Oreochromis niloticus: one gene and its partner. The protein of the gene in region 1 purifies or fractionates together with the protein of each later gene. This does not show direct contact. Links are inferred from orthologs where the notes say so. Each region holds a gene or a part of one and is shown on either strand. Other genes may lie near its edges.

What was found.
Region 2: the proteins of vps4a (region 1) and zfyve19 purify together in Homo sapiens (affinity purification with mass spectrometry; 3 studies listed by BioGRID and IntAct, counting the BioPlex papers as one, with this or other methods). This does not show direct contact. The link is inferred for Oreochromis niloticus from reciprocal best matches to the Homo sapiens genes VPS4A and ZFYVE19.

What each region holds. Positions count from the first base shown.
Region 1 is NC_031972.2:5,171,882-5,187,054, reverse strand, and holds the start of vps4a (vacuolar protein sorting-associated protein 4A), read right to left. Parts: upstream 6,868-15,173; 5' UTR 6,651-6,867; coding exon 6,630-6,650; intron 4,931-6,629; coding exon 4,819-4,930; intron 4,735-4,818; coding exon 4,590-4,734; intron 4,497-4,589; coding exon 4,435-4,496; intron 4,266-4,434; coding exon 4,146-4,265; intron 4,034-4,145; coding exon 3,877-4,033; intron 3,270-3,876; coding exon 3,121-3,269; intron 2,163-3,120; coding exon 2,081-2,162; intron 1-2,080. UniProt on the Homo sapiens protein: Involved in late steps of the endosomal multivesicular bodies (MVB) pathway. Recognizes membrane-associated ESCRT-III assemblies and catalyzes their disassembly, possibly in combination with membrane fission.
Region 2 is NC_031983.2:8,745,282-8,761,122, reverse strand, and holds zfyve19 (abscission/NoCut checkpoint regulator), read right to left. Parts: upstream 6,173-15,841; 5' UTR 5,992-6,172; coding exon 5,938-5,991; intron 5,852-5,937; coding exon 5,730-5,851; intron 5,634-5,729; coding exon 5,580-5,633; intron 5,491-5,579; coding exon 5,339-5,490; intron 5,231-5,338; coding exon 5,088-5,230; intron 4,942-5,087; coding exon 4,833-4,941; intron 4,704-4,832; coding exon 4,485-4,703; intron 4,320-4,484; coding exon 4,243-4,319; intron 4,073-4,242; coding exon 3,971-4,072; intron 3,886-3,970; coding exon 3,722-3,885; intron 3,489-3,721; coding exon 3,410-3,488; 3' UTR 3,391-3,409; exon of another isoform or gene 2,857-3,390; 3' UTR 1,886-2,856; downstream 1-1,885. Other genes in the region: ppp1r14d (protein phosphatase 1 regulatory subunit 14B), read left to right, coding at 724-804, 1,261-1,293, 1,398-1,466; bub1bb (mitotic checkpoint serine/threonine-protein kinase BUB1 beta), read left to right, coding at 8,055-8,197, 8,293-8,352, 8,440-8,584, 8,671-8,867, 8,957-9,120, 9,219-9,406, 9,491-9,591, 10,078-10,360. UniProt on the Homo sapiens protein: Key regulator of abscission step in cytokinesis: part of the cytokinesis checkpoint, a process required to delay abscission to prevent both premature resolution of intercellular chromosome bridges and accumulation of DNA damage.

The DNA of each region.
Region 1 (15,173 bases):
TTTTTTATATGCTTGGCTCGATATGATATGATCAAGAATGGATATCCCTAATAAGGTCTCAGGCATGCAAATAGCAGCCAGTCAGATGAATAATAACCAAAGTTGGCTTAAAATGTGGGTAGCCTTATAGAGACAGGGGCAGCTCCAAGGGGAGTATATTGAGCTCTGAATCCTACAAAGCTCATTTAGTGGAGTCCAAGAGCCGCATCTCTGATTTGTTTAATAATTCTATAATACACTTTGTATTACATATGCTTCTAACTGGGTACACATTTAAGATTATGCTTCCACAAGACACTGAGTGAATTACAAGTTTAAGATGTTATTAATCAGCTGTGGATTTCAGTGCCACTTCTTACAGGAGCTGTCTTCTTTTTGCATTCCCAGCACTATTCACCAACAATGCAAGCCTGTACACATGTGACAGGAAAGCTGATAGCTGCTGGGAACTCTTTAACTCCATTTCCCAAGAGGAGGCAGGATGATTTTTATACTGCCTGCCCTGCTCAGTGAGGTGAGACCTGTCGATCAGAGCGATCTTTCACTCTGTTCAGTAACAATTACAGAAGGAACTACCTCCTTCTTGAAGCCACATCCTTCTTATTTCAAGTGAAACTTTTCTTTTTCCACATTTTAACATTGAAATTCAGCTTTTGTGCTTAAATGGAGGCAAAGTGTAGCCGCTGATGAACGTGTTGTTGGGTACTGCTGGTCTCTCCAAGTCCTGTTTAGTTGTGATTCTGTGGCCATCTAAATAAGTTGAACTATCTCCCAGCAGCTTGTGTTTGTAATGTGCCCATGGTAACATAACATGATGAGCCTCAGCCAACGTCTTCTAACAGATCACACACAGTGCACTGTTTTCAAAGCACAGACTTTTTTCATAATTGTCCATCCAGCCGAAGTAACGCGCTCTTATTTTGAAAATTCAGTTTCTGTTAAAGAGCAAGCTCTGGCCCTTCCTGTTTTCCCTGTGGGCAGGTCTCCTGAAATCTTTTCTTCATTTAGACTTTATATAATTACCTCATGGAGGTTGGTCTCTACTCTTTGCTGGATGTTCTGTAGGGGCTTTTCTTTACTATAGAAAAGATCCTGTCATCACCCATGTCTGTGGTTTTCCAGGTCTTTCCATGTGCTTCCATGTGTGTTTTTCTCAGTATGTACAAAATAGTTATCCACTCACGATCTTAATAATAACCATACTATATTCTTTTTTTGCAGACTACTTCTGTATTAACAGCCACAGCACACTTGAAATCATTTCCTGACCAAAGTAATAGCCTGAATATTGATATGCCAGCCAACTTTGTCAAAGTGTTAAAGTACAGATGCAACACTTCAGTGGTCAATGCAATGCGATGGGTTAACCCCTCAACTTAGAAATCAATGTTTGCACTTGAAGCTTTAAGCATTTAGCAGTAACCCAAGTATATATTGATACAAAGGTAAAAAGACAAAAATCATGCCACTGTCCAAAAATATCTGGAGCCAACATTAAATTCTAAACGTCATAGAGAACAACTCACAAGAAGTTTGGACAATGTTTTACATGGTCAGCATTCAAAATGAGAGCTGGAGCTCAGGTGTGTGTCCGCACAAATGTTTTGTTAACAGCTTAGTAGTTTAAAGGAGGAGAAAAAACGACTTCAGACTGTGACATCATGGTCAGCAGTCAAAAAGCAGTATGAATCTTAACATTAACATGTGTTTAGACAAACAGATTAGAAAATCACTTTTTGAAATATTCCCCAAATGCAGGAGGATTTAATAGTAATTTAGATTTCAGATTCATCCTAAAACAACAACACTTCAAGCCCTGTGGTTTCTCGATTTGGTTTCAAACTAACAGCATCAGAATCTACCCGGGTTCAAAGGTTTGTGTTTTCTTAACACACAAGAATTAGATGTAACATGACAGAATTACCATTGTGATGAATAATAACAGTGCAGCTACAGTGAAAGTAAATTTTTATGGAATAAAAAGCCCCACAGAATATTAACAAAACAAAACAAACACACACACACACACACACACACACACACACACACACACACACATCTAATTGAGACGACCTCTGACCTTCTGCGGATGGCGGCGTCCAGCACCCAGGGGATGTTGGTGGCTCCGAGCACCAGAATGCCATCGTTGTTGTTTCCGACACCTACAAAAGCAGAGCGTCAATCTACACAAGCACTTCTTTTGAAACTCTGGAAAACTCTCTTCACTGATTGTAGCAGGAATAATGGTCAGTGTAATTTGTTTATACAATATAAACAATGATGAGCTAGTGATGCCACACAATAATGCCACCAGCTCTTTGTAGCTCTTTACACAAACAGTGAATGTGCACTTTTACTGTCAAATATTTGAAAATACAGGGTTGGATACCTTTTCTCCATTTTTTCTAGCTAGCCACCCTAAACAGTCCTTAAAGGAGTAAATCTCACATCTTAAAATGTTTTGGGCATTTATTTTAAAACACTGTCTAAATTAATTTCAGTGACGACCATGACATAAAACTGCATGTATAGAATCAGCAGTCAAATATGACAAATCTCTGCAGATCCACAATAACATTTTAGAAGTTTTTATCCCCCCTGGAGGTTATATTTTCCCCACAGTTCATGCTTCTTTCAGTGCCATGTCTCTCTCTTATAATTTCTCTACTGCTGTTTACAAAGCTGATGTTTAAAAGGATTTTTCACATATGATGGTTACCAGTTCTGCCACCACATACACTTACATCCAGAAAATCACCAAACATTTGTGTTTTTTAGAAGTTCCTCTTGTGGTTCAGAGCAGGCACAGTGAAGTTCTGTGGTTCTGTATGGTTCTATGAACTCTGAAAAGGCTGCTGTAGTCTTAATGTCCTTTATTTCAATCCATCATGGTGATGTGATCCAGGTTCCACAAAGTGTTAACAAGATTCGCACATTCAGTCTGACACAGATGTGAGGCTGAGAAAAGCCCCTCTTTGCTCACAACATCAATCTGACTTGAGACACTGCAGACGCCATGTTTTTTAAATGGCTGTGGCTCAAGTTTCATATTTCAACAATATTATTTAATACTCCATATTCTTCACACTTCATATATCCGATAGCACTCGTGTGACTCACCCTGCATCTGGACCAGAAACTCTGTCTTGATGCGGCGGGCAGCCTCGCTTTCGTTCTCGTTCCTCGAGCCGCACAGAGAGTCCACCTCGTCGATGAAGATGATTGAAGGTTTGTGCTGGCGAGCTAGATCAAACAGGTTTTTCACCAGCCTGAGACAGACGAGCAGAGACGGAGTAAATATGTCTGAGGGATAGCCATATTAGACCATTAGTTTTTTATTACTAAGAAATCTATTTAGTCTTTGAAGTAACAAATGTTGTAATTATTGCTCATCACCTTTATGCAATTTAAGATGAGAGCTTTAAAGATTAAAATTCCAAAATACTCAGTTATCTCAGTTATTTCTACTTGCTAAATCCCATATCAATCTGTTTATTAAAAAGATACTTACGAAACTGTTTCAGTTCAGGTTTCTACTCTGGTACAGTTGCATATTTATGGAGCTGTTTAATTGATATTCTGCTAGGATAAGAAAACAGCCGTCCCCAAGGCTGTGAGGAACTTTAGAAGCATTTCTGATATTTCCTTTTTACCTCGCTTAAACAAATCTCTAGGACTGCCGTCTTTCAAGTGTACAATACTAAAAATTAGAAACACTCCTGACTCAGAGTAATGCTGAAAAACTAGTTCATCCATTTTCCCTCTCCAATATTGTACGGCCTTTACCTGATAATTTATAGCACGTTGAGATGAGACTTGTTGGGAATTGGCTCTATGTAAATTACACTGAATTGAAATGATGCATTGAAAACATACTTCTCACTCTCTCCCAGCCACTTTGACATGAGGTCTGAGGAGGAGACAGAGAAGAAGGTGGAGTTGTTGGCCTCGGTGGCCACCGCCTTGGCCAGGTATGACTTCCCTGTTCCCGGAGGACCGAAGAGCAGGATGCCTCTCCATGGGGTCCGTTTGCCTGAGAAACAAAAAGACCCAGAAGAAAAGTTTGTCTTTAAAGTAGTGTTGATATCAGTGTATGACTGCTTACTGGGTTTAAACAGAATGAAGAAACTTGAGACCTACAGTACCTGTGAAAAGGTGAGGAAATTTGATGGGCAGGATGACTGCTTCCTTCAAAGCTTCCTTAGCTCCTTCCAGCCCAGCAACATCATTCCACCTCACATTGGGTTTCTCCATTACAATAGCACCTACACACACAAAAAACAGTAATGATGACACACCTACTGGGATGCAATTAATAGACAAGGCTGGATGATTATGACAAAACCAAAGAAAATTATAAGAAATAATATCATAAATAAATATTTTTTACAGAGCTCCACATGATGGGGTTAAATCCCCCCCAAGGCCACTCACCCATAAGCTGCTCCTGCAGTTTTTTCTTCTCAGGGTTTTCACCCTCACTGTCACTGTCACTCCTAGAACACGGAACATAAAAATCCAATAAAGCCCAAAATGTTTTTTACATTTAAACATACAAAAAAAAGAAAAAAGAAAAAAGGACATCATACTTGTCATTGCTCTGTGCTTCTTTGACAGGCTTCTTGCCCTGTTTGTCTTTATTCTTCAGATAGTCCTTCAGTTTCTCTGCTCTGTCCAGGTACTGCATACATTTTGCTCGTATACTCTCCTTCGCCTTGTCACTGTGGGCCTCATCTGGAGTAAGAGAAGATGTTCCCATTAGCAAGGTGTATGCAAAACACAAACTACCTCAGCTACCCATCAAGATAAGATACTTACATTTGATGGCATGTAGGAAATATTCCACAGCATGCTGGTACAGACGCAGAGCCTCCTCATAATTCTTCGCCTTGTCCTCCTCTGTGGCTTTAGTGACAAGATCAATGGCTTTCTGCAGCAGATGCAGAGATATAACGTTAAACAATGGAGTCAAAAACAGGCAATAAACACATGTCATCCTTATGTCACTCAAAACCAAAGCTTCAGCCAGCAGATTACAGAACTGGGTTGGAATCACAGGAACAGCTCTCAAATGGTTTCACTTGTCTGAATATGAATTCTGAAGTATGTCTTCATCTGTGGATTCCCCCAGGGCTCCAGTTTTGTTTTCACTGCGTATATTATACCTGGGCCATCTGCTTAATAGCTTTAAATGCACCTGCTATCAATGATATGCACACAATACACAGCTGTACCTTTCTGTTAGTTCAAGCTCAACAGCCTTTGGTACCTGAGCGAATGCTTCACTGCCATTATTAACTTTAAAAGATTTCTTTCATCTCAGTCCTGACAAAACCAAGGCTCTTGTGTTCGGCCCTGACAGATTCACTGAGGAAGTCAGCCATTACGCTAAGCCTGCTCGCTGATAATATCAAATCATCTGCTAAGAACCTTAGTATTATTTGTTATTATCTAGTATATTTGAATCTCACATTTCAAAGCTCACCCAGCCTTCTTTCATTAAAGAAACATTGCAAAAATGAAACCTTTTTTGTCACCCAATTATCCAGAACCTTTAGTACACACTGTAACTGTCTCCCAATTATTTTTGCATCTCTTCACTGGCTTCCAGTGAAATTCAAAATTTTATTAATAGCATAAAGTCCTACATGGCCAAGCTCTTGCATACACCTCCTAAACTCTGGAACAGCATTTCTCAGTCATTCAGTTCAGCTGAACCTGTGGTTTGTTTTATAGGATTACTGAGAGCTTTATACAATTTACTTTAAAAAAGAAACGAAAAGCAAAGAAAAGAAAAACAATCTTTCTCCTATTATTTGTGGCTATAGTTTTACATCTGATGTATGTATAAAAGTTGCGTGTATATATTGCGATGAATGCAAGACCATGTGTTTCTGTGTCTGTGTGCTGGAACATATTCACCGGTCTTTAATGTGTGGTTTTATTCAAACTGTGAAACATTTTGTAGCTCTATTTATTTAAAAGTGATAAACAAATAAAATTTGTTATTATTATTAAAACAAAGAACAGGCTATTCCTTAAGACAAATATTCACTGTGCTGCTTCTAAAGCCAGTCGTCAGACTAAAATAGTCCCCCCCAAACAGCAACGCTTTGTTTTCTGTCCTGTTAACTGAGCGAGCAGGGCCACACAGGCCGGCTAACGGTGACAGCAGATACCGTTAGAAACATCCTCCAGGCGAGGCACAGCCAGCAGTACCCGCACTAAAGCCTATTGTTTCTATAATATGTAATCTAGACGACATAGTTATTGTAACACCAAACCGAGACAATCTTACCATCAGCTGTTTTGTTAGCAGTTTAGCTTGCATTACATCCAGCCACCTTAGGTTTAAGAGCTAACCGTTATTTTGTATGTAGGTAGCCGACAGGCTGGAAACTGTGTTTTGAATCAGAAGCTTTCTTTAATCGTTCAGTGGAAAAAAATAAATTATCTACCAAGTGGCTCGAAGAGTTTTCGTAGCTTCCAGAAAATCGTTCCGCACGCAATCCAGTGTATTCAGAGTTGTAAAAAAACCCCCGCTTTTTGCTCCAATTATACAAAAATCAGAGGCTAGCTCTGTGACCAAATTGAAGCGGGCTAACGTTAGCCAGCTAACAACAACCTACCTGTAATGTTGACGTTGTCATTTCATCTCACTTTAATGTGACACGCGCAGATTTCTGTCCCCTGTTCCTCCCCAAAGGTGGACACCTGAAGAAGTGATGTCTTTACCAGCCCTGTTCTGTAGGAGGGCTGCACGCTCCTGTCATGACAAAACAAAACAGTGGCTAATGCGGCGGCTAGCAAAGATGACAGCTCGACCCAACAAGACGTCAACCAACAGGGGAGCTCATACGTGACAGCTTCCGGCGAAGACCTCCAAAGAGCCGTGGCGTAAAAAAAATAATCAGAAAACATGTAGTCACCACATGAATTATTAATAATACACCAAGGATATTATATTCTCAGAATTACATTTATATATAAATGTAATATTTTTCTGAGACTATAGAGACCATTTAACTTGGAAAACAACTTCCGGTTTTGTAGCTAAACTAACAAACTTGACAAACTTCAGGGACCTTCGCAGATGTTCAATGGCCTGCAACTACTGCCACCTAGCGGCCACAAGCCTGTCATTAAAGGCAGGAGTAGCTGGAGAAACACTACACTCATGTGAAATCAAGTATTTGGCAACGTTGTAGAGTACCCAACTGAACCATGCAAGAAAAAAATTATGGTATAGTTAAATTATTTTTTTGTGTGTGTGTGCGTTTTAATCTGTACATATATTGTGACTGCATTATATAAACCCAGTACACAGCAATAGAAAATTGGATTTTGTTCGTTGGATTTTTGAATGTTCACTCACACTCTGATGGATGCATCAGGGGCAACTTGGGCTTCAGTGTCTTACCCAAAGATGCTTTTCAGCAAGCAGCCTGGAGGAGTCAGGAATTGATGCACTGGCCTTCCAATTGATTTTCCACGTGATCCACAGTCATCCCTGACAGATGCACCAAATTATGACCCAACCAAAAATCTTCCTGATGCCTTTTCTCCACAAACACGTTGAAAGACCTATGGGTACTTCTTTGAGCAGCAATTTTGAAAAATTATAAATAACATATTATAAATAATAAATAAATGATAAAAGACCTTTATTGAAAAAGGTACTAAAAGTAATCAGTAACTGTCCAAAAGTCCAGCCAGTCAATGTAATAGTGCCATTCAGACTGACCTGCCACTAATATCTGGATGTCTAGTCAAAGTTCACTATAATGGAAACAAACAAAATGTTTATAGCGTATTTAGTATTAAAAAGGTTCCGTTATCATAAACACAAAGATGCTCTGGTTCATCTGACTGAGCTGTGGGCCACACATCACACAGAAAACCACTGAAAACACTGAAAAACAACACCTGGGTTTCTGTAACTTAAAACAGTTTTATTGGTAGGTATGTACATTTGAGATTACTACATTGTTATCATACATTGTATACCGTCTCTTGGAAGGAAACCTAAAATACTTTGCATATGACAGGTTGTCGCAGCAGCACTTTATCCTCGCGACTTTTCAGTTTCATGATTGTGTTGGACGCAAGCTGCCACAGATAATACCTTTGGTTCCAAAAACCCCTTCTTTGAAGCGTTGCATAGACAGAACAGCCACGATTTGAGAACAAAGAGAGGAAGGAGATAAAAGGTGTACATTCACAGGTTTAAAAGGGGTTTGACAGGTTAGTGCATCGAGCTCAGAGAGGAACAGGACGGCCTCGTAGCTTCTTAAACTTCACATAATCAGATCAGGTTAGAGCAGTTAGAATGACAAGAAAGCAAAAGTGTGGTGTAAAAGTGTATCCCTTTCACTACTGCTTCAAATGTTGCAGAAACTGACTTCGTGCCAGGCTGAGCGTAGCTCAAACTGTGACGTTTTAAGGGAAGCAAAGCTTACTTCTGCTTTAATACAGCCAACATTAACTGTAGCTTGAAAAGACTTAAATCGCTAAACAGGAAGTGAGTGTACTGTGATGAATTTTCACATTCATTAAAAAAAAAAAAAGCATCACAAGGACACGATGTCCCAAATGGGACAGAGGTCATTCAGGCGGGTGACTGTGCTCCGTATCAGAGAACCGGGGTTATCTTGTTTTCCTATGTTGCAGTCAGTGCGCACAATGGCACATTGTGTTCTTTTGGACCTCAGACAGAGGCTCTACTGAAGGGTAACATTAGCTACATGTACCATGAATAAGCTGACAGTGATTAAAATGTGTTTATTACAGTCACGTTGAACTCATTAACCAGCCAACGCAGGCAAAATGAACTGAAGGGGGAAGGATGGTCAACTTGCATCTATTGGGAAATATAAAAAAAAAAAAAAAAAAATCTGGTTCAGTCAGTTAAATATCACGTGCATCACACTGTCTCTGTCAGCACACTGACTACATGAACACCAACACTGCTGCGAGTGACCAATACGACTTACAAGCTCTCATCATTTCTCAACATTATCACAATTTTAGCACATCGGAGGGGTAAACAAGAATGAATGGCTGGCATTCTATTTCCCTGTGCTAACTTTGCATTATAATCACTATTGTTGATGTTAAAGGGAACACCTGCTGCTCTTTTCCAACTCGATATTTTTATTCTGGGACTCCACAAGAGTAGTTCTGCTTGATTTACAGTTAAAAAAAAAAAAAGATAATTTATCTACTAGACCCTCAGATGAGCCTTGATCTGCTTTAAATGGGTAATTTTAGCCACAGGCCCTTAAAGACACCACCAGGCTTTCAGTAAAGGCTAACTTTATTCTGATTGGTTGATTTCTGAAAGCTTGCTGAGGGGGTAGCTTAAGTTTGAGAATCATAACTCTCAATCAAATCTAATCTGGAAAAAAAAGAGTGGGGAGGACAAACATCTGCAGCAGGTTATAGCAGAAGGGTTCTGTTAGGTGCATATCAAACTTATTATTAATTCACGCTTGTAAACTAGAACATAGAGCCTTTTACATGTTTACAATATACTCTTTTCTTAACCCTGCATCCTGTGTTTTTTTGTTTTTGTTTCTTGAACTCAACCCATGAGTGAGTGAAAATGAAATTTAAATGTGGTCACCACATGTGCACCTGGCTGCTTAACACGAAGTCTGTCAGTCTGTTAAACTGGAAATATCAAAATGACGTTTGTCGGCTTTGTTGGTCTTTGGCAGCAGAAATCACATTATTTGCTAAATGAAGAAACTGCTTTTTACAGAATGAGTCATTAAGCTGGCTGATTATTTCGAGCAAACAAGGAAGCTGAGGAAGGATTGACACTTTCTATTCTTGGACCCATCATTTCCTCTGTGCTCATTAACTTGACCAAACAGAGTGCAGTACTTTTAGTTTAATAATAATCTGACTTCAAGGCATAAAATTAAAGATTTTCACATAATTTGGCTGAGACTTCAAACTGCTCTCTGCTTTAGGTTCAAACTGGGATCACAGGTTTACAAGACTTTCAATATTTCCTAAACTGAGGTGACTATAAAAATGAGGTAATTCCAGCTGATTGCATACAAGATTTTCAATAAGCTACATGGGGTTTCATATGTAGCTGGCTTCTAGGTGCTGCCCTTTGTCAGGCTGCCAGGATTGGACCTATAAGAAGAAAGTTTGATTTATGGGGAGGAGAGCCTTAAAGAGACAGGAGATAAAACGTCTGATTGGCTGAAATAAGAGGGCAGAGTAGTAGTAACTCTAAACTGACTGCTAAAGGAAAAATAAAGAGCTGGAAGCGAGCACAACAGGTCCACCAAATATGAGAGATTTTTTTAAACTTCTGTTGAGGTTTAATATTTTTCACTTTAGGTGCTTAAAATGAGCAAAATTTCACTGTAGAACTTGTTGGGTAAACTCAGCCATTCATGGTACTCCAGAGGACCACTGATCTTTGAACATTCAATCACCCAGAAATAAGATATTACAACTTTCCTGAATCTGCTTTTTGTTTGTGTTTTAGGAGGTGAGGCAGTTTTAACATTCACTGTCAGCTCACTGTCATGTGACGCTCCTGTTAAAAAGTATTTGACCACACAAATGCTGATGTGGGCATGGCAACCAGAGAGGTGTAATCACAAGCGAAGCAGAATGAGATGAGACGATGTGGTAGTGTAGGTGTCTGGGTCGTGGGTGGGGGAGGTAACGCACGGTCATGTCATATATCATCGTCTAATACAGAGTCCAACATCTGGAAGTCATGCTTTCAGGAGATACACACTAAAAAATAGTAACATTGTTTACACTATAAGAGTAATACTATTGCTTGTGCATGTCCGAAGCGTAAAATTCTCTTATTGTGTGAATTAAAAAAAGGGGAACACTATAAAGAGTGTCTCTGACTACAAGTAACAAGGCACAGTTGGCGATCCTGATTACAACAGTAGTTTGGGATAATGTGCTAAAAGTATGAGGCACACTATCAAGCCAACGGCAGCGTGCAGCGAGGAAAAACGCACTCATCCGCAGAGATCTTCTTTCACGTGCACGACCTCCGCTCGGGTAACTGCATCGCGACTCTAAAGCAGCGTCTCCCTCTCACAAAGACAAACACACGCGCGTTAAAAAGAGCCCAAAGTACAACGGAAGGCTGTCGTGGAATGATAGGCAGAGTAAAAACTGGGAGCGTTTACCAATCTGTGCTCGGTCAGTTAAAAAAAAGCCTTCCATTTCTTCGATGCACTTCACTAACACGTTGCTTAGAGCGCACAGGTGCTGCAATCTCATAAGCACATCGGCTGCATCAACATCTCATCGGATATTTATAATGAAATATATTTAAAAAGAAAAAACCCCCACAATCACGTGGAATGTTATGAGATTGTTAACTGCTATATATACTTTTTGTTTTGCGTGAAAACAGTCTCCTTTCACCTCGTGACTTAAAACAAAGTGCCCCTTCCTTGTACCTCGCCTCGCAACGCAGCTGACCACAAGGGGCCGAGGAGAAGCTGGAAGAGAAGGCACATTTTTGAGACAATCAGACAAAGCACCTCCTTGGGTTAAGGTTCCCCCTGCAGCACCACGTCAGGCCTGACTTCAGCTGTGAGCGGACAAGTTGGAAAAACGAACAAGATATTAAAAATAAATGAAAACGAGAAAGAAAAAAGAATCCTCTCATCCACGCTGCCAGCATTTGGCGGGCTTCACGTCAGAAGACCCATGCGAGTGAGTTTGGCCGACAGGAAGGAGTGCAGGACGAACACCACCGGCTTTGGACCCGAGTGGAGATCAAACACCTGGAGGGTGGAAGGAGGGAGGAAGTTAGAGAAAGGACAGGAGGATGAAGGGGAACAAAAGAAAACTTCAACATATCCAACAAGATATCCAAGATATTCCCTTATTCAAATGTAGATTGTTGTTTTATTTGTTCCTCAACACTTATATGGAAAGTGGAGAATATTCCAGCTTTAATGAAATGGGCTGAATAGAAACAGTTTTCCAGTTAAAAACATACATTTTAGTATTTTACTGTATAACACAATACAGAAATATCTGTATTCCTGGTCTACAGATCTCTGACAGGTTGCATTTTACCTTAATTTTATTTCATATTATTAGATTTTACTGATCTTTATTTGCACTTTGACTTTCCTTCTGTGGATGGAAATGTAATTTCTTAATCTAAGGAAAATAGTCCACAATAAATAAATAAATATAATTGTAATCACAATATGTTACAGCTCTTGTAACCGGTGACAGTATCTCAAAGAGTCTGGCGTCATAATACAATTAAAAAACAGAATTAACGGCACGCTATCCACTCGCCCTACTGCATACTGTGTGGCACAGCTGGAACAGCTGAGTGGTGGAGGTTCTTTAGGCATACTAGCTCTCTCAGGCTAGTCGGCAGACGGAAAACTAACATCTGCACGTGAGCTTCCGGTCAGTTTGACTGTTGTTTAATGTACTGTAATGTAAATTACTGTCTGTAATGCACAGGTAAGTGAGGTTTTACATCTTTATGATAAATGAACTGTAATTATGCATGTACCATTAGCTTCAGTTTGCCTTCTTGTTGAAATTCTTTTCTCTTTTTTCCCCCTTAAATGAAAAAACTCAACATGATTTTGGCTGGTTTAGCGTTTCAACACGCAGACAGTTAAAAAACATTGATGGAGATTCTGGAAGCCAGTCCTAAAGCTGCATTCTACCCGAAGGCCACCAGATGGCGATAGCAGGGGCTGTAAACAGACTTTCAATCCTATTGAAATCTACAGGAAAACAGCAATCTGTCCCGACCTCTGTGAACACTTTGCTGAGGACTTTATGGACTCAGTCATGTGTTTTGGGTTATTAAAAGAAAAAAAACCAACAACTATTAAATTCAGTTATTTAAATATTGGTCAAACATCAGCTAATCACTTGTGATAGACAAGTTGTTGGTTGGACCCGCCCGCCTTGTCACATTCAGCTTGTTTAAATCAAAACAGCAGAAATGTTGAGGATTCAGAGCAGACTTCAGAAACTAACCGGAGACATCATGGCAGCTACGACCATCTCTTATACATACACACACTGTGTTTCAGCATGACGCAAAAGTTCTAATAAAGCTGAGATTTAGGAATATTTTTGACATTCTTAGGTTTAAAAAGATTTTCCACTCACAATGCATTCATAAACTGACAAGTAGCTTTACTATAATTTACCATTTCTCCCTCTGGACCTCCGAAGTCAAGGTAAAGGTTGCGTATTCCATCATCAGCAGACATTTTAAGCTTCTCGTAGGGGTATCTGTACAGCACGGCCCCCCCGCTCGGGTCGGCTGGCTCCCTCGTCACAGTGAAGCCTTTTTCATAGTGTAGAGTCAGCCTAACTTCCTGTCTGTTCAATGTGCAACCTAGCAGAGAGGGCGACAGGGGAAAGAGCTCAAGAAAAACTAGTGCACAGGTGAGTCACAGGGAGAAATGTGAGAGTGCCGATGTGCGGAGGCTGGTTCTGGAAAACATGGGGCTGAAACTAAAATGATTTTCATTCTATTTTTAGTTTACCAGTTTCTCAATTATGTGACGTTTTTGAAAACTAAACAGTTCTATGTTCAAATTAATTTTTTTCATTAAACCTTTCAAAACACAAATCAAACAATCAAATGTAGTAAAATATTTAAGGAAAATACAAAGTGATAAACAACTGAAATTGATTTGTTTACACATAAATGAACGTCAAGCTTTTGTATCAAACAGAGTATGAATTCAGACTTATTATTGTAACAAATTCACTCTTACAATAACAGTGCTGATTAACAGTTGCAGTCCAAAGACAAGTGTGTGTTTTATATAAAAATCCAGGCTGCCTGCCGCAGCGTGACTGTGAGGTCATCTGATCCGAAAGCATTTCCATGTGCATTACTGTAACCTGAATGGGCCAAATGTTCCTGCACAACTGTGTGTTTGTGTAGCAGCGGGACAGGGAAGGAGAATAGGGGAAAAAAAAAGGCTGAGGCTTTCCAGTGCTGTTCCGGCAGCCAACTATTGTTCTGCACAGAGTGGAAACATTCCCCTTTGCTGCCTCCCATTTCTGCCTTTCCTACACAGAGCTGCTCTTTCTGAGCGGTGGCACAATGTTGTGAGCCAGCTGCTGTCAGAAGCTTCCTGTCACAGTCCAAAGTACACAGGCCTATAGACAGGAAATATTTTATCTCTTTATTCTATTGCTCTTCTACAAGTGGCACAGACGGTTTAGTTCACTGACTAATATTTCTCGATTTCCACTTAACATTTACTTGGAAGGAGGCAAAGGTGAACCCACATCCTCTAGTTCAAGGTCTGCTTACAACACGCCTCTGCTAACATGTGTGTACTAACACACCAACACAGTGCACACACACATCGAAACACGTACACATGCCACAGGGACGTAATCCACTGTGTGGTGCTTTTGAAGGTGTTTGCACAGCATAATAAAGTGTCTCCTGTGGGCATAAAACCATCAACCTATTGTAAACTTGGAATAAGATACACTGTCAGATTTACACACACATCGGACACTTGAGTAGATGCTCTTTTGTTTTAACCTCCTAGGACCTGGCGTCCACATATGGGGACATCACATTTTGGGTTGTCTAGATAAGCGGTCCCCAACCACCAGGCCACGGACCTGTCCGTGAGCTGTTTGGTACCGGGCCGCGAGAGTTGAGGCTCGGGTATGAAATTTATGGTTTTCAGGGTTTTTTAAATCGTTATTTTTTTTATCGTTAACTCTGTTTCCCTGGGTCTTTTCCCGTGTGTAATGATAAATCTTCCTTTTTCTGGTACCGGTACTGGTTTTATTTTGTTGTATTTATCCGCGACACCTTAAAGGCCGGTCAGTGAAAATATGGTCGGACATAAACCGGTCCGTGGAGCAAAAAAGGTTGGGGACCGCTGTTCTAGACCACACTACTAAGTTTTGCTCTTTCAAATGAGCCATATTGCTCAAAGGGGTGCAATTGTTGTTTCTCATTTTGTTTTTGTACTCAGGAAAAATGCTGCTGTGTTCAGACACCAAATAAAGAGTTTTGCACATCAATACTCAATTTTGACTTTATAGTATTCTAATGAACACTATAAAGTCAAAATAGCAAAGGGAAATTAAAAATGCATGCCATGAAAGAGTTCGGGTTTTAGGGGGTTAAGAACTCAGAGATT
Region 2 (15,841 bases), on another chromosome or scaffold:
GTCGTTACATTGCAGTTGGGAGCGCTCGTGGGTTTGTGTTGTTTTTTCTTTTCCAGGTGTGCAGAATTCAAAACATGTGACGTGCATCAGAGATTAATATGTAAAAAAGTGGCGGAGCTGGAAATGACAGCTTGCTAAACCATCCATAAAATATGAGGATGGCGTTTTGCAAGCCTGGCCTCATACAGCCTTTCTGTCTTCATGCATCAGCCCACTGAACTTTTCCCATCAAGTCAATCAATTTTTTATTTTGTTTTATATAAAATGTTTTTATCCTCTACAGTAAACCCACACCAAGATAACTAACTAATAAATTTGTCCCATGTTCCTCCCCTCACCCCCAACCAGTCGTCAGATGGCTGTCCATCCCTGAGCCTGGTTCTGCCAGAGGTTTCTTCCTGTAAAAAGGGAGTTTTTCTTTCCCACTGTCGCCAAGTGCTTGCTCATCGGGTGGAACTATCTGACTGATTTTCTCTCTAAAGTGCCTTGATGCGACTTTTGTTCTGTTTTGGCACTATATACATAAAATGGAATTGAACTGAAAAAGTAATGCGTTAGTCTTCTGTCTGAATGACTACATTTAGTTGGCTGGAAAGATGAGGAGGGATAAAAAGCCAAGAAGCCCACATTATACAATCCAATTTGCAGGAGTTTGTGAGGCATGCAGAAACACAAGTATCAGTGAATATGGTCTTTAACTTTTATTCCTCTCCACTCTCACAGGAAGAAGAGATCCCAGAGTTAGAAATCGACATAGACGAGCTCCTGGAGCTGTCGGATGAGGGGCAAAGAACCCGGCTGGAGGTAGGTTTCTGTAGAATAACCTAAATAGAGATCTGATGAGATATTCCAATTGCTTGTTAATGACTTGTCAGGTATTTATTATTGCTGAGTGGTTCTGCAACTAGTTCCCCTAAATTACATATATATACATTAGTGCTGTCAGCGTTAATCTCGTTAAAATGACGTTAACGCCATAACCGCATAAACGCCGCAAATCTCTGTTAGCGAGTTGACGCGGATCGGCCCGCGCGAGGGGCTGCACGGCGCTAACGCGTTAGATCTAACCGCGCTGACGCGTTGACGCCGTGCAGCCCTCCTAAAGTCATTTTAACGAGATTAACGCTGACAGCAATAATATACATATTTGTATTTGGTTGTCCTTAAGAAGAAACTGACTCATAATGAAATCCTGCTGTGCAATGTATGCAGAGAAAAAGAAATGGAAAACGTGTAAGCCTCTTTCTGTTTGTTCATTAGGAGTTGTTGCACGAATGCGGGAAGCCAAAAGAGGTGAGACAAAAACTTAGAAAAGAACACTGAAATATTATGTCTACTTATTAACAAAAAGTAAAAAATTAAAACAAAAAAATTAAATTTCCCCATCTTCTCCATAGGATTTTATCAACGGGCTGCTCTACAGGATAAAGGGTCTACGTAAAATGTCAGGTCCACTGAAGAAATAATTGTAGGTCAAATTAAGAATCGAGACAATGTGGAGCCGCTCATCTTCGTCGCCCCACACATTAACCATTTGGATGCCTGTAGGTGTGGATCAGAGGGACTATATTCCTGTCCCCTGCCTCCTCTTCCTCCTCCTGCTGGGTCATCATCAATGTAACACCAGAGCTGTGGGGTTTTGAATTGAATTTATTATTTTTTTTATTAATGTTGTTATTTCAAATTCATTTATGGACTGCTTCAACGTTTCCCAATACCATACCAATAACGTACACGTGATAAAAGCTGTACTGACTATTACTCAGACGGACTGTTTTTGTGTAAGACTGTACATTTTTAGTTGCTTATTTATGTACATAAATATTTTTGTTCAGATAACAGTGTTGTCAAAATAAAAAAAATTAAAAATAAAAACATTTCAACATTTTCAAGACAATGCTCACATCTGATTTTTAACAAAGTGATACACCAATATCCTTCATCAGGTATTATCATTTCCACTCATTCAAATAAATATTGGCGTGTACATTACACTAATTGGTTTACAGTACCAGTTAAACTACCCTGAGCTCACAACTGCTCAGAAACACAGATAATGATTTTGCCCTACTGTCTATAGACAACTTTCCTACAGAACAGCAGTCAGCATTTTATTCCCAAAACATAAGGTAGTGTTTTCAGGCATTTTCAACAGATTGGCAGAAACAAAGGAAACTTTGACATGTCAAGAGTAGGTGTAAACACAGTGAGATCAGCAACAAGATGTTCCATTAAGTATGCATCCATTATCCTCGTCCATTTCCTGTCTGGGGTACGTGTATGACACGGCCAGAAAAGGCACAGTAACACTTTCCACATGAACCTTAATGGAGCAAGCCCCAAGAGAAGAGTGTAATTATGGTTTCTCCTCAGCCAGACAGTAATGCACGCTGATGAGCCTGCACTCTGGCCTTCTCTCTGTCAAACACAGAGGGTCTTTCGGGTGAGGTCTCCACTATAGAAATGTATATGGTTCTCCTCGACTTCTCTGACAAAGAAGGCATGTATACTATAAGAATTGCACTCCCTACAAGGCCTGCCAGACTGAGATATTTTTTATCTAGTAATAATATGTTGGATCTAAAAGGAAAAAAAGGCTTTAATGTTAAAAATAAAGCTAAGGTATGCTGCATGCTCTCAACGACTTGACATAGTTGCTAACACTTATCCTTTATTTATAATCAAATTACACACACAGCCAAACATAGATTACAAGAGCGACTGCAGTGACTGCCAAAAGAAAACAAAGCCCTTAGTAATCCTTTTATACTGACTCCTCTGTGCTTCCTCGGTGCGGAGCTGACAGCAGTCTGGGATTGTACAACATCCCAGATGAGCTCACGATGTGTCTGCTTTCTGTACGGGTTATAAAAATTTGGAAATCATCATATGATGACAAGTGCAAAAGAGCACTTTAAATAAGCCTTTGTTGTCATTAGGAAGTAGGACAAGTCAAAATAAAAATAAACCCGATACTTCTTATTCAGATCAACCATATTCATTTTTGGGATTCCTATGTGAAGCGGCCGTGCAGGTTTGCTGCAATACTTTCACTGTCTAGCAGCCTCTGCAAATGTTACATACGTCTATTTTTACACATTCCACAAAAAATAAACTATATTTAAGATATTATACATATTATATTGCATTTACATTGTGTTTATGGTCCTTATCTAGCCGGTGCTTTGCAAGAAATATTACCAGTAGTTTCTTATTATGCGCCATTCAATTAGTTCAGCCTTAGCATTTACTGAATAAAATATGTTAATGAGTTCTGATGGTTTGTGGCTTGTTTTAGATGATTAGAGAGACTGTTTTCTAACAATAGTAAGTCACTTAAGGCTAAAGAACAAGTCTAAGTGTGATGGCTGGCCTAACTCTAACAATCACCTGCAGCATAGCTTCACTATCATGTCTTCCTCTTCTTCTTTGGCGCAGTGTAGTTAGTGGTGCGATGCTCCTTCCTGTCATATTTATCATGGCCTTCCCTGGGGACATAATGAAGCATGGATTGATAATTCATCAGACTAAATACTTTATATTCATGCTGCTTAACAGTAGGGCAGCAGCTTGCCTGCAATTTATCTGGGTCATGGTATGCATTCCAAATCACAGAGATCTTGTTTTTTTGTGTGCAGTCAAGGCTTCCATGCAAAAGTCAACCATGAGTCTAAAGCTAGGCTTTTTTCTTTCTTTCTATAATTAATGCATTTCATACTACCTGAAGCAGCGGTTACAGTACAGATCTCCATCACAGGTGTGACATCGAAGGCTGGCATCTTGGTTACAGATGCAGCACCATGGAAGCTCTTCTTCATCACTGTCTGATTGCTGATGTGCATCAGCAGCAGGTAGGTTCCTGTTCTTAGGTGCCGGAGGTGGAGCCTTTACAATAAAATCAGATCTGGATTTAAATTTTATGCACTCACGTAGCTTTAAAAAAATAAAAAATTCAAGTGTGGTTTTGTACCGGTTTCTTGGACGATTTTTTCTTTTCCCTATTCCTTGGGCCACTCTGTTCTAAAGGTATGTTGTAGCCACTGGCCTCATCTAGTACAGTTTCTTCTGAGAGCTGAAAGAATACAAGAAAAAATAAGAAGTGATTAAATTGGCAAAATAGCAGCCCCTTGTGGCTAGGCACACTGGTCTGAATTAGTTCACTCATGCCTTTAGGGGTGTAAGATGTATGCAGGAACAAATTATTTATAGTTCATTATCATCTGATGGTTATTTTTGCCACACCTGTTTTAACACTCTCATAACAGCTTCTTCTTCAGTCTCCTCTTCACTGTCAGGTTGCTGGAAGTCCTCCATAGTAACTATAAATGAATCACAATGAAAATGGGGCATGATACACTAGCATACTAGCACTTCTGTCATGGAAACTGCATTTACAACGCACGTCCTTATCGTATTTTATGACACACTAGTGTAAAACAGTGGATAACAGATAAGGTGAGGTGAATGGTGCTCGAATAACTCACCTTTGTCCGGGTCCTGCCCCTTCAGCTCTGCCAGCCTCTTTGCCATGTGGAGGATCTGATCCTGAGAGTGACGCTCTTTCCTCAGCTCCTCCATAGCTTCCTCGAGCAGATGGGCTTTCTCAGCCTCCAGCTGCTTGGCTGCATCCTGGTTCTCTTCCAAATTCTCATCCAGTGTACCTGCCTCACCTTTATTGAGATCATTCATACGGCCATCTACACCTTCAGATTTAATAACAGTGTTGTTCAGTACCGGTTTATTAATTTTACGATATAAGAATGAATGATATGACTGACTCATTACTTATTGGTTTAAGGCAGGTGAAATCAGGGAGAAATGCAATATCTTACTGCATTCAGGATTTGATTGCTGGTTGTCAATTGCAACTTCCTCTGTCATCTGACTTATCAAATCATTGGCTTGTTCAGTCTGGGTCCGGTTTTCTGGAGGCTGATGCACCTACAGACATGAATAGACAAGCATATATACTTGGAGTTAAGAGAAACTGTTTAGTATTGAGTTCCCTCTAAATAAATATTTGAAGCTATTGAGCTGTACTGTAAGGCCTAAGATGTTACAAACAAGCAGGAAGAGATTCAGCTCACAGGTCGAGGAGCTTGAGATGGTGGAGGGAGGCCCCGCAGAGTGGCCAGACGGTCCTCCATCTCTTCTGCAGAAGGTACTGGCTTGCTGGGAGCTTTCAGAGCAGCAAGTCGGGACTTGAGCTCTTTGTCAGAGGGGACAGACTCTGAAGAAAAGGCAAAAAGCTTACTCCTTACCTTATTTTGGAAAATATTATAATAATACTGCACTTGCTAGATTAAATAAAAATGAGAGCTGTTAAAAATCTTATTACTAGGTGCTGTGTCCTCCTTGAGCTTTTGAAGCCTTTCAGCAATCGCCTGATCTTCTTTGCTCAGGCCGCTGGTTAGTGGATGTCCTGCTTTGCTAGTCCTCACAGGCTGTGTCGGCTGTCCTTGCTGTTTGGCCTCAAGTGCAGCGACCCGTCTAATGGAAGACACGTGTACTTTAGATATTATGAAACTGCTGTGCTGCCAAAGTTTAAGTCATTCCCTTATTTGATCATATACACTGACTTTTTATAGTTTTCTGGAGGAGACCATCTGCCAGCACTGGTTGAAGATTGCCCACTAAAAAGAAAGAATTTTAAATAAGAGAGAAGCTCCAAAGCCAAAACAAAACTACTTTTAGTTTTTTTTTTCCTCCTTGCAGGGTTTGAGCGTTACCTGGTCAGATTACCATGGCACTGTTTGCAGACCTTCTGCTGGGTGTTGCCACAGCGAGGCACCACAGCACTGAAAGTCAAGCAGCTGGAGCAGAAGGAGCGGCCGCAGTTCTTACAGCCCAGCTATGACGAACAGTAAACAGATCACTTTATTCAAAATGTACCCCTATGTATGTCTATGTGGTTAGCATTAGCCGTGAAATACTCACCTCCTTCTTGAAGAGGCTAAACTTGGACGCACAACAATAACATCGACTGTCCATACCGACACGTGCAGAGGCTCATGGGTAGGGGAATGTTAATGCTATCGATACAGCTACAGTGGGTTAAAATGCCTAAGAAAACACACTCAGTCGTGAGCATTAATCTGGCAGCTAGCTACTAGCAACTATTTTCAGGTGTTCATTCAAAACAGGAAGCAACGCGGAAGCTGAGGTGTGACGTAATGCATACGCATCTTCCGGTTTTCCGAATCGTCCAATCAGAATACTGCAAAACCTCTGGCGGTCCTTGTTCAAAACACAGACACAACCGTTCAACAGGTTTACTGCGACAACGTTGGAGTTCCAGCTGTCACCTAGAAAAGAAATAAAGGAGGCTCGGAAGCGGTATAGAACACGCACGTTTTGTAGAAAGTCTATTTTAATTCAGCTAGGAAAATTTGTCGTCGATGGAAACATTGCTAAAGTTGGTCAGGCTAAAGCTATCGTTAGCTAGCTAGTGTGTTAGCTCCAAACGCATGCACTTCCTAACGTTAGCAGGAACGCAGGGAGAGTGTTGATAGCTGCATTAAACATCATTTTGTGTCTCTGTCACACGGTTTGTAATACGATGGCAGTTTACCACATCATTATTAAAAAATGTATTGTTGTCGAAGTGCATCGTTAGCTCATGTTGTCCTAAAACTTGTTCAGTATGCCTCTTGGTCACCATGCCATTTAGTTCGCACACAAAAGGACTAAGTAATAAACAATTATAATGACAGTAACTGTAATATATACTTTTATTACTTTTAGCTATACAGAGGTAATAATAAACTTTGTGTATATCATCAAAAAAGTTATTTAAAATTAAATACAACTACAACAAAAGTGCATCAAACGAAATAACAAGTAACAGACTTGACCAGTGAAAAATTAAATAATTTTAAGGCTAAATAAAAACTGAATGAAACTACATATTACTTAAAGCAAAGAAGTTATATGAAATTAAAACAAGGGCTGTGTGTAAAGAATATTCAGTCACACCTAGGCTTTGGAGGGGGCTGTTAAGTTTAAAGATTTCAACACATCCAGGTCCTCTGGCAGACTGTTCCAGCAGCTTGAGGCATAACACTGAAAAAGCTGCCTCCCCAGAGGTTTTTGTCTTGCACTTTGCAACAGCTAGAGGATTTAAATAAAAGGATTTTAAAGTCAATACAGAAACTGACAGGCACCCAGTGTTGGGACTTTGCAACAAGTGTGATGTGTCCTCTCCTTTTGGTCGTAGTAAGTCTGGCAGCAGATATCTGAATCAACTCAAGGAGATCTTAGGTAGATCAGATAGCAGAGCCTTAGAGTAGTCCTGCCTGCTATGTATATAAAACTGGTTTGTCAGAGTCACCAAGATAAAAGGTTGCATTCTAGCAATATTTTTGAGTTATAAAAAGGATGATTTAGTGGCACACCCAACGCCTCCCTCAAGTTACGATCTGAGTCAAGGCTTATCCAGGCAGACTTGGGGAAAAAAGAGAAACAACAGCATTGTGGTAGATTTTTAAAGCATAGATAAAACTCTGAAGGCCACCTCAGAAAATCTGAACACACTGATGATGTAGTAGTCTCAAAAATTCTTGTGTCAAATATGATACACTAGGCATTAAAGGGTTAAGTTTAATTTTTATTGTTCTATTGATTTGCCCATAAGATGATTTCTTATTAAAGTTAGATTACAGATTAGAAATGAAAAAAATAGGACGACTTAAAAAGCCCAAGCAACTGAATTAAATGTGTGTATACAGAGGGCGAAATAATGGCTTTGATCCAGGACTGATTCTGTGGGCACGTGTGCTTTATACACATAACGAGTTGAGATCAGGGTATCTGTAATTGATTGATTGTAATTTGTGTGCCACATGGGCACAAAGCCAATCAGTGGGAGCCAGACTTCTGGCTGTTTGTAGGGGATCAAGTACTTATTTAACTCAATAACAAATAACAAATCCATTTAAAACTTTGCAGTTTTTTTTTTTCTGGGGTTCTGGTTAATTCTTAATTACAAATTCAGCAGGGGATAAATATCAAATAATTAATTCTCCTGCTGTATGTATCTAGTTTCTGTTTCAGAAATGGCAGAAGGAGGAGATGTGGAATGGGAGCTCAGCAAAGAAAACATCCAGCCTTTGAGGCGGGGTAGAGCCATATCGGCCTTACATCAGGCGCTGAGTCAACAACAAGATGGACCCACCTCTGCAATCAACCAACAGAGACAGTATGGATGGCTATTTTAAACTTAAATTGTTGTACAATTTCTCCATGCATTTTTCATATGATGAAAAAAGACCTTGTGGATATTTATTTCTGCAGGGCATTTGAGTCTGAGTTGCGCACATACGAGGGCGATGATCCACTTAGTGTTTGGGATCGGTAAGGGAAATATGTCAATAGCCAAGTGTGCTCATAAGCATTGCTCTTAAATTTCCCTGTAATCCTAACACGGTTTTATTTTTCCAGGTATATTAAGTGGACAGAACAAACCTTCCCCCAGGGAGGAAAGGAGAGCAACCTTACCACACTGCTGGAACGAGTCGTGACCAGATTTACAGAGGAGAAACATTATCACAATGACCCCCGCTATGTTGACCTCTGGATCAAATTTGTGAGTGCAAAAGTATAACCTCTGACTATTTCTGTTACTTTGACAAACTAATGCTGCATTTATAACGTTTTATTACATGTCACCAGGCGAAGAACTGCCAAGAGCCTTTGGAAATTTACAGATACATGCAAGCACAAGGAATTGGAGTAACACAAGCTTCCCTCTACATCGCTTGGTCAGAGGAGTATGAGGATCAGGGCAACTTCCGCAAAGCAGACTTGGTCTACCAAGAGGGGTTCAGAAAGAGTGCTGAGCCACATGATAAACTCCTACAGTTTCACAAGTATGGAGTCTTCCAGTATAGTTTCTGATAAATGAATATCTCTGTTATGTTGTTACAGTGATCACATTTTTCTGTATTTATATTCGCAGGGCACTGCAGGCACGCGTTTCCCGGCAGGTGATGATGAATGTGGAGGAGGAAGACAGTGATGATGAGCCTAAGCAACTCGAGAGAGTTTCTCTAGCTGATCTGAAACACAGAGGGAAGAAAAAGGCTGTCGCCCCCGTCAACAGAACAGGGGCTGCGATCAGAAGTAAGCACATGAATATACAAATAAAATCTGTTTCAAAATACTACATCGATGATAACAGTGCTTTAAGACTGGGAAAAACATAATGGGTTTGTACTCAGGTATTCCCGGTGGCCTGAAGTCACAAGGCGCCCCTGTTCTTGGCAGTAACAGTCGGTTGGTCATCTTTGACGAGAATAAGGCTCAAAGCGCAGGCCCATCGGAGCCTAGATTGGAAGCTTGGGTGGCTCCTCCCACATCTAGGGCGAAGGAGAACGAGCAGAAGCTCGAGCGATGGTGTGATGTGAAGGTATGGGAGAACAGGCTCATTGTCGTGTGTGTTGAAAGCCATTATGCAAAGTTGATTCATAATTTTCTTTTTATGTCGTCATAGATGCCCCAGAAGTCCAAATTTGGGCATACTGTTATGGCTCCGCCGCCTCCCAAACTCACTTTCCAACCATTTGTGGAGGAGTCAGATCAGCCTCCTACAATGTGAGTTACTACAAATACCTTTATTTATTTATTCATTCACTTTTAATTTAAATCATTATTTTGACCGGGAAAAAAAGAACAGACGAAGAGACAACAGACAGAAATGCCTGAGTACCAAGATCTGTGGATGTATACACACATTTAATTGAAAAGCCCAAATAAACAAATAGAAAAAGTCTTCCTCTCTCATCTGAGTTGTCATATCATTCGCTTGTTCAGTCTAGGTGCAGTTTTCTGGAGGCACCTACAAACATGAATAGACAAACATAAATACTTTCAGTTAAGGGAAACTGTTTAGTATTGAGTTCCCTCTAAAAAGTATTTCTAGCATTCTTCACATTTTTAGTAGCATTTATCAGAAAAAGATCCAGTTTTTATCTGCCGTTTTATGTCATTGTTTTACCTGCTAAATATTATATTCATGTCACATGTTGATTAGTGTCTTCCTAACCCGAATGTAAGTGCATTGTTCTGTCCCTCCCTCAGGACTCCATGTAAGATCAACCCAGCAGTTAACACAGTTTTGTCAGCGCGTAAGCCGGGCAGAGAGGAGACTCCTCTCAAAAGGCTGCAGGACCATCAGCAGCAGCAGAAGGAGGCAGAATCGGGAAAACAACAGGAGCAGAGCATGTACTGTAAAGAGCTGCTGCTAAATGGTGCTGCTGAGTTCTGCTTTGAGGAGCTGCGAGCTGAACGGTTCTTCAAAAAGACGGCACAAGAATCAGAGGAAGGGCAGAAGGATGAAGCTGCAGCTGGTGCTGCAAACTGATGCTTCCAAATGGGATTTAGTTCCTTTTCTGAGTTTTTACCATTTTTGACTAGATCATGTAGTGACTGTTCATCATCCAGATGTAAATATTGTCATAGATTTCCAGTTACTCAGAAGGCTTTATAAACAAACAAAAAAGCTTTTTGGGGGGATACCCTGGGAGCTGAAGACACACTAAAAGGTGTATTGGATTCGTGCAAATACAGTGGTTGGACCAAATAATGGGAACCCCTGTACACTGTAATGTAATCTAGTAAAAATGCTACTAGCGTGAGAAAAAACATAGATGTAAATACATGTTGATACTGAACTGATGTGCATGCCTTAGCTACCAAGCGACTACTCAAATGTGTTCCTTTTTCACTCCTGCTTGCATCCATTGTTCTTAAGCAGTTTTTTTGTATGTATTCTGTTTTTGTTTTTTTCTTGCTCAGTATTTCTTGAGCAGATTTTTCTACTCTAATCCAACACAGTCAAAAATGGGTTTCAGTGAGACACTTCAGCTGGGCTTCATGCGCACACTTGAGTACATGCGCCTTTCAGGCCATGTAACATTGATGTCCAATAAACTTGATACAATAACCAAACCAATTACTGGTGGTTGTTAATTTCTCTTTTAGAAACCAAAGGGGGTTGTAGTAATGCACTGTCAGCAGGGGGCTTGCAAGGGGAAGCATAGATTGCACTCCAGGTAATGGTGTTTGCTTAATTACTAACAGGACACCAGAGCAGTTTAGTGCTGACTGTAATCTGATGCTGGTGGGGGCATCAGATAAAAATGCATTTAAATGTCTAATGTGTAATTCAGGAAGTATTTACCCAGAATCCCAAAAAGCATTGAAAGTACACTTAAACTTTTAATCTATTGTGATGACAGGGTCCACTTTACACAGTCAACTTGCTGGGCAGACTTTGATGAATGGCTGCAAGATAGGTGGCTGGCTCATTAGCAAGTGAAATCAACCACTTGCAGCTGTGAGCAGATCAGGCTGTGGTTATCCCCAGGAAGCCACTGTCCTGATGAACCGTGGCTCAAAGCGGTGTTAGTTTTACATGCAAGTGGATCACTGGAGGAGCACACTTCACAGTGGAAATATGACACTGCCGGCCAAGATCCTCTCTAGTGGTGAGTTCCCATACTGTCTACTTTAAATTGTGGCTTAGCGCTGGGAGCAGCTGAAATTCAGTGATAAGTGATGGGCAACATGATGCGCTCCCATCATAATAACAGCATAACTGCACCATAATGCATCCTCTATGGCTCGCCGGTTGGCATGACTTATTAAAAGCTCGTCCCAGCCAGCGACTCCTGACAGAAAATCCATAGCTCTCCGCACTGCACTGGAGAGCTGGTACGAGGAGGCCATCTACCGTAATGCTCTGTAGACGGGCCCTCGGAGAAGAAAAGCTTTTGTCCTCTTACTGCGACGGACAAGAACACTCGAGTGCCGTGTAGTCTTTACCTATTTGTAGCCTATGGTTTGTGTTTGCATGCACCAGTTAGCAGAAAGCTTTCTGTCCAAGACCTAGACTCACTTTAAGTCACTAGTAGAGGTTTTGCCCGGTGAGAAGGACTGAGGTGAACTTCCATCAGGCTTGCACGGATACAGAGCAGCTTGTAAACGTGCAGCAGCAAAATCATCAGCCCCTTTTCCCCCCTCCAATCATTCTGGTTGTGGAATTTCATACGCTTTCAGAAAAGGAAACTATAGCTCATGACTTAAACTATGAAGATTATTTCCTGATTTAGATCTACAATGATTTCGTTCTGTAATTTTGACTCATGGTTATGTAATTCAGACAGCAACCCCAGCGTGTTAATATACTAACCGATGAATCAGTATTTTTACCACTTTCGCTTCGATCCTATCAGTTCTCCCGAGGCCACTACTTGATATATACTTATATATCTCAAATTTGGCTTAATGTTATGTAATTACATGTAATTACACCCATGAAAATGACAGCTTATTATCTTATAATCATGAGTTAGTGGTATTTTTTTAGGGTTTTCTCTGATCATGTTTGACTTATCTCACTGTTTCCACTTAGTAAGTCAGAACTTTGACTTACATTACCTTGCACATTTGTTTGGTTACCTAACTGCTCATTAGCTGGCAGGTTAATGCCACAGGCTTTCTCTAGATTTCTGCAGTGCTTGTCTTAATCATACAGATTTAAAAATGGATTTCTAGGTCATCTGAAAATGTCAGTGGATTTCTTTTTCTAAATGAAAAATTACATTTGCTTTAGCTTAATACTCTGAGCCCCGGTAGCCTGCTGTGTAATTCCTACATATTCATGCTAAACAATAGAATGAATTGAAATGCAAGGAGTTAAAGTGGTCTTACTTATGCAGCTTTGGGGCTTTCACTTTAATGACACTGTGGTTTAAGACCAGTATTGTCATTGTAAAATCTGTTTTACATCACAAGCTACTTTTACACTATTTATCCGAGAGGAGCGCCGGGTTTAGAGGACCGCTTAGTGAAGATGACATGTAAAAATAATTTATAACATCTCCTAGTCTCTCCTTTTATTGCAATACAATACACACTCTTAAAATACTCCATACATACATATATACAAAAAGAAAGTGATAATTAAATAAATTTCATCTTCAAGTAGAAAAATGATATCTACCTAACAGTGCAGCAGTAGCTTTCTTTTTATGTCTGCGCTAAACCACCGAAGCAAAATTGTGTGGTTCTGTGCATTCTCGCGGAAACAGGAAGACATGTTTCATTTATTGACCTTTTGACCTGCGCAGCTTTCCTTCATACTGGGCAAGCAGAGATAAGGATAAATAAGCAACCTCAGCTCAGATAGCCCTGGTAAAAAATGGAGTAGTTTTTGTGATCACCATATTTGTGCATTTTAATCTATCTTTTACCGTTTCATGAACTCAAAGGAAATCATGACTATAAGAAGACCACCACACCAGTTAATATCTGTGACAATGATGCTGACTAGTAAGAGTGAAAGAGAGGGAGGGGTTGTGTCTGCCATACCCCTAACAGGAAAATCTGTCACTGTTATGCAGATTGGTTTAGTGGAGTCGTTTTTCACCTCACTTTATTTGATGTGTGTGTGGGGGGAGGGGGAGGGGGGTACCATTATTTAAGCCTGTCGTAGTGCCTTTCATATCAAAATGCCATGTATTACACATATGCCCTAAATGTGGCTCACTCTTGCAGGCAGTTTCTGCATGACTTGACCCTAATACATTTTCCTTCTTCGTGCCTGGTCTTAGCTTCTGTATAAATTATTCAGGAAATGATTGTGGTAAAAGGAGAGGGGAAATGTTTCGCTCAAATAATGAGGATGCCGGATCAGATGCAGGAGTGTGGCTGTAACTTTAGTTTCAGTGTCCTCACTCGCAATGATTTTGGGGGGTTTTTTGGGTCACGATAGACTCGAAAGACAGTGTAAGGATGAGGATCGAAGCCCCTCTACAGGGATAGTCCCACACCCCTTTTTACAAGCATCGGTACATACAGCAACCCCTCCTCTGCCATCTGTCATCTCCCGCACCATGTCATTTCATGGATAATACATTTGAGTGAACATCAGTGCACCGGGTGAAGGCAGCACCCTCGTGTTCTCGTGTCACCCACATTACGTGCAAAGGAGACAGAGAGGCAGAGAGATGGTGGGTGGGGAGGGGAGAGGAGAGGAGAGGGTGGGGGATGAAAGGTATCCCAGGTGATGAGGTGTTGAAGAGCTCTCCTCTCCTTACAGTCACTGGAAACCGGCACACGGGCGCAGGCACATGCTGCTATCAGTTCTTTTGCAGCCCAGTGAGGCAGTGGGAGGAGGCAGAGAAGGAGGGAAGTGATAAAGAGAGAGGCAGAGAGAGGAGGAGGAATAGAGTAAGAGAGAAAGGGAGGTGGGAGGGAGTGTGTGTGTGTGTGTCTGTAGGAGAAAGACAGCGAGCCTGAGAAGGAGAAGGAGAGAAAAGGGGGGTGGATGGAAGGAGCTACATGGTGCTGTGATATTCCTCTCCTCCTGGATGCTGCTTTTCTTTTTCATGGCTTTGTCCATCCATTGTACGGACACCCCCTTGTCCCCGGGAGCAGGCACCGGTACACGAATCAGCACTCAGCCACAGAGCTGGGGATGAACCGGCCGCAACAAAGAGCCTTTGAGATGGCAGTGTGTGCTTCTGCCCGGAGGGAGGAACGCATCAGGCTTTCCCAGGCAAGCGGCAGCCTGCAGTGTGCTCTCGCTTGAGAGCCATCCCTCCTCGCCGTTGTGTGCATGAGCTTGAGAGCGTGTAGGTCCGTGTGCGAGCGTAAATGTGTGTGTGAACGTGAGCGAGCAGTGCATAATAGTGGATGTGAGTGTATGTGCACACTCTCGCTTCCAAACCTTCCTGGAGGAGAGAGGCTCTCCTCTTCACTGGACAGCAAGGTAAGGGAGAATGACTGATTTTTTTTTGGTGTCTTTCTCTAACAATGATTTTATCCCTCCAGAGCCCCATCTTCTCTCTTCACAGCGAGGAGAGTGGGGTAAAGTGGGGTGGGGGGCAAAAAAAAAGAGGCTTAACGTCATTGATAAAGAGCAGGCTAGTGTATGCCATCGGTAGGCATCAGTCGTGGTGGAGGAAGAGAAAGAGGATGTGGAGCAAAAGCCAGTGCAGCCAGGTGCAGATGTGGTGGCGGTGGTGGGGAGGTTTGCTGGATGTATTCAGTGATGGACTGCATCTCAAAAGAGGAGCCTTCACCTTCTGCTCACCCCTCCTCCTTAAAATCCCAACATCGTCTCCTCCTCCTGTCTCTTCTGTCCTCAACCCCGATTTCACAAAAAAGGATTCAGCACTCCCTAAAATGCTGTCTCTCTTAAGATGGATCACACTTGATAAATCTAGGATGACTATTATGAGTACTCTGGACACAGATGCTTCCTGTTTTTACCAATGTGAATTCAGGTGATATTTTTAGTTGTACCAGTGCAAGCTTCTACTACTGCACATATATACATACTTCAGTAGATGGATGCTGTGGAAAGAATAAGCACGATAAAGGAGACTCACACGTGACGTCTTTTCCTAGCATAAAGAAAACCTGTTGTACGAGGGGTTGCATGAACGTGGGATGCGATGTTTGCATTGTACTGAGTTTGAGCACATTAAGAAACAAGAAATCTGGTCAGTACTCTGGAAAAAATAGATTTGTAAAGTCTCTCTATTAGTCTGCTATTAGATGCTAAGTCCTCTGTGGAAATCAATCTAAGGTGAAGGTGTTTTAAAGAAGTGTATAGATTGTTTGTTTTAGCCCACTTAGCATTGCCAGTGCACTCATTGTGAATGATGCTGTCGCAGCACTTCTCGCACTTGCTACTAAAAGAAGAAATAATAACAACAACGCTACTGTTAATGATTACATGTGTGAGTTGAGACGACATCTGATCTTATCTGTGCACATAAGGGGTGATTTGCTCATAAGTTTAGTATTGATTGAAATCTGTGTGTTTTTTGAA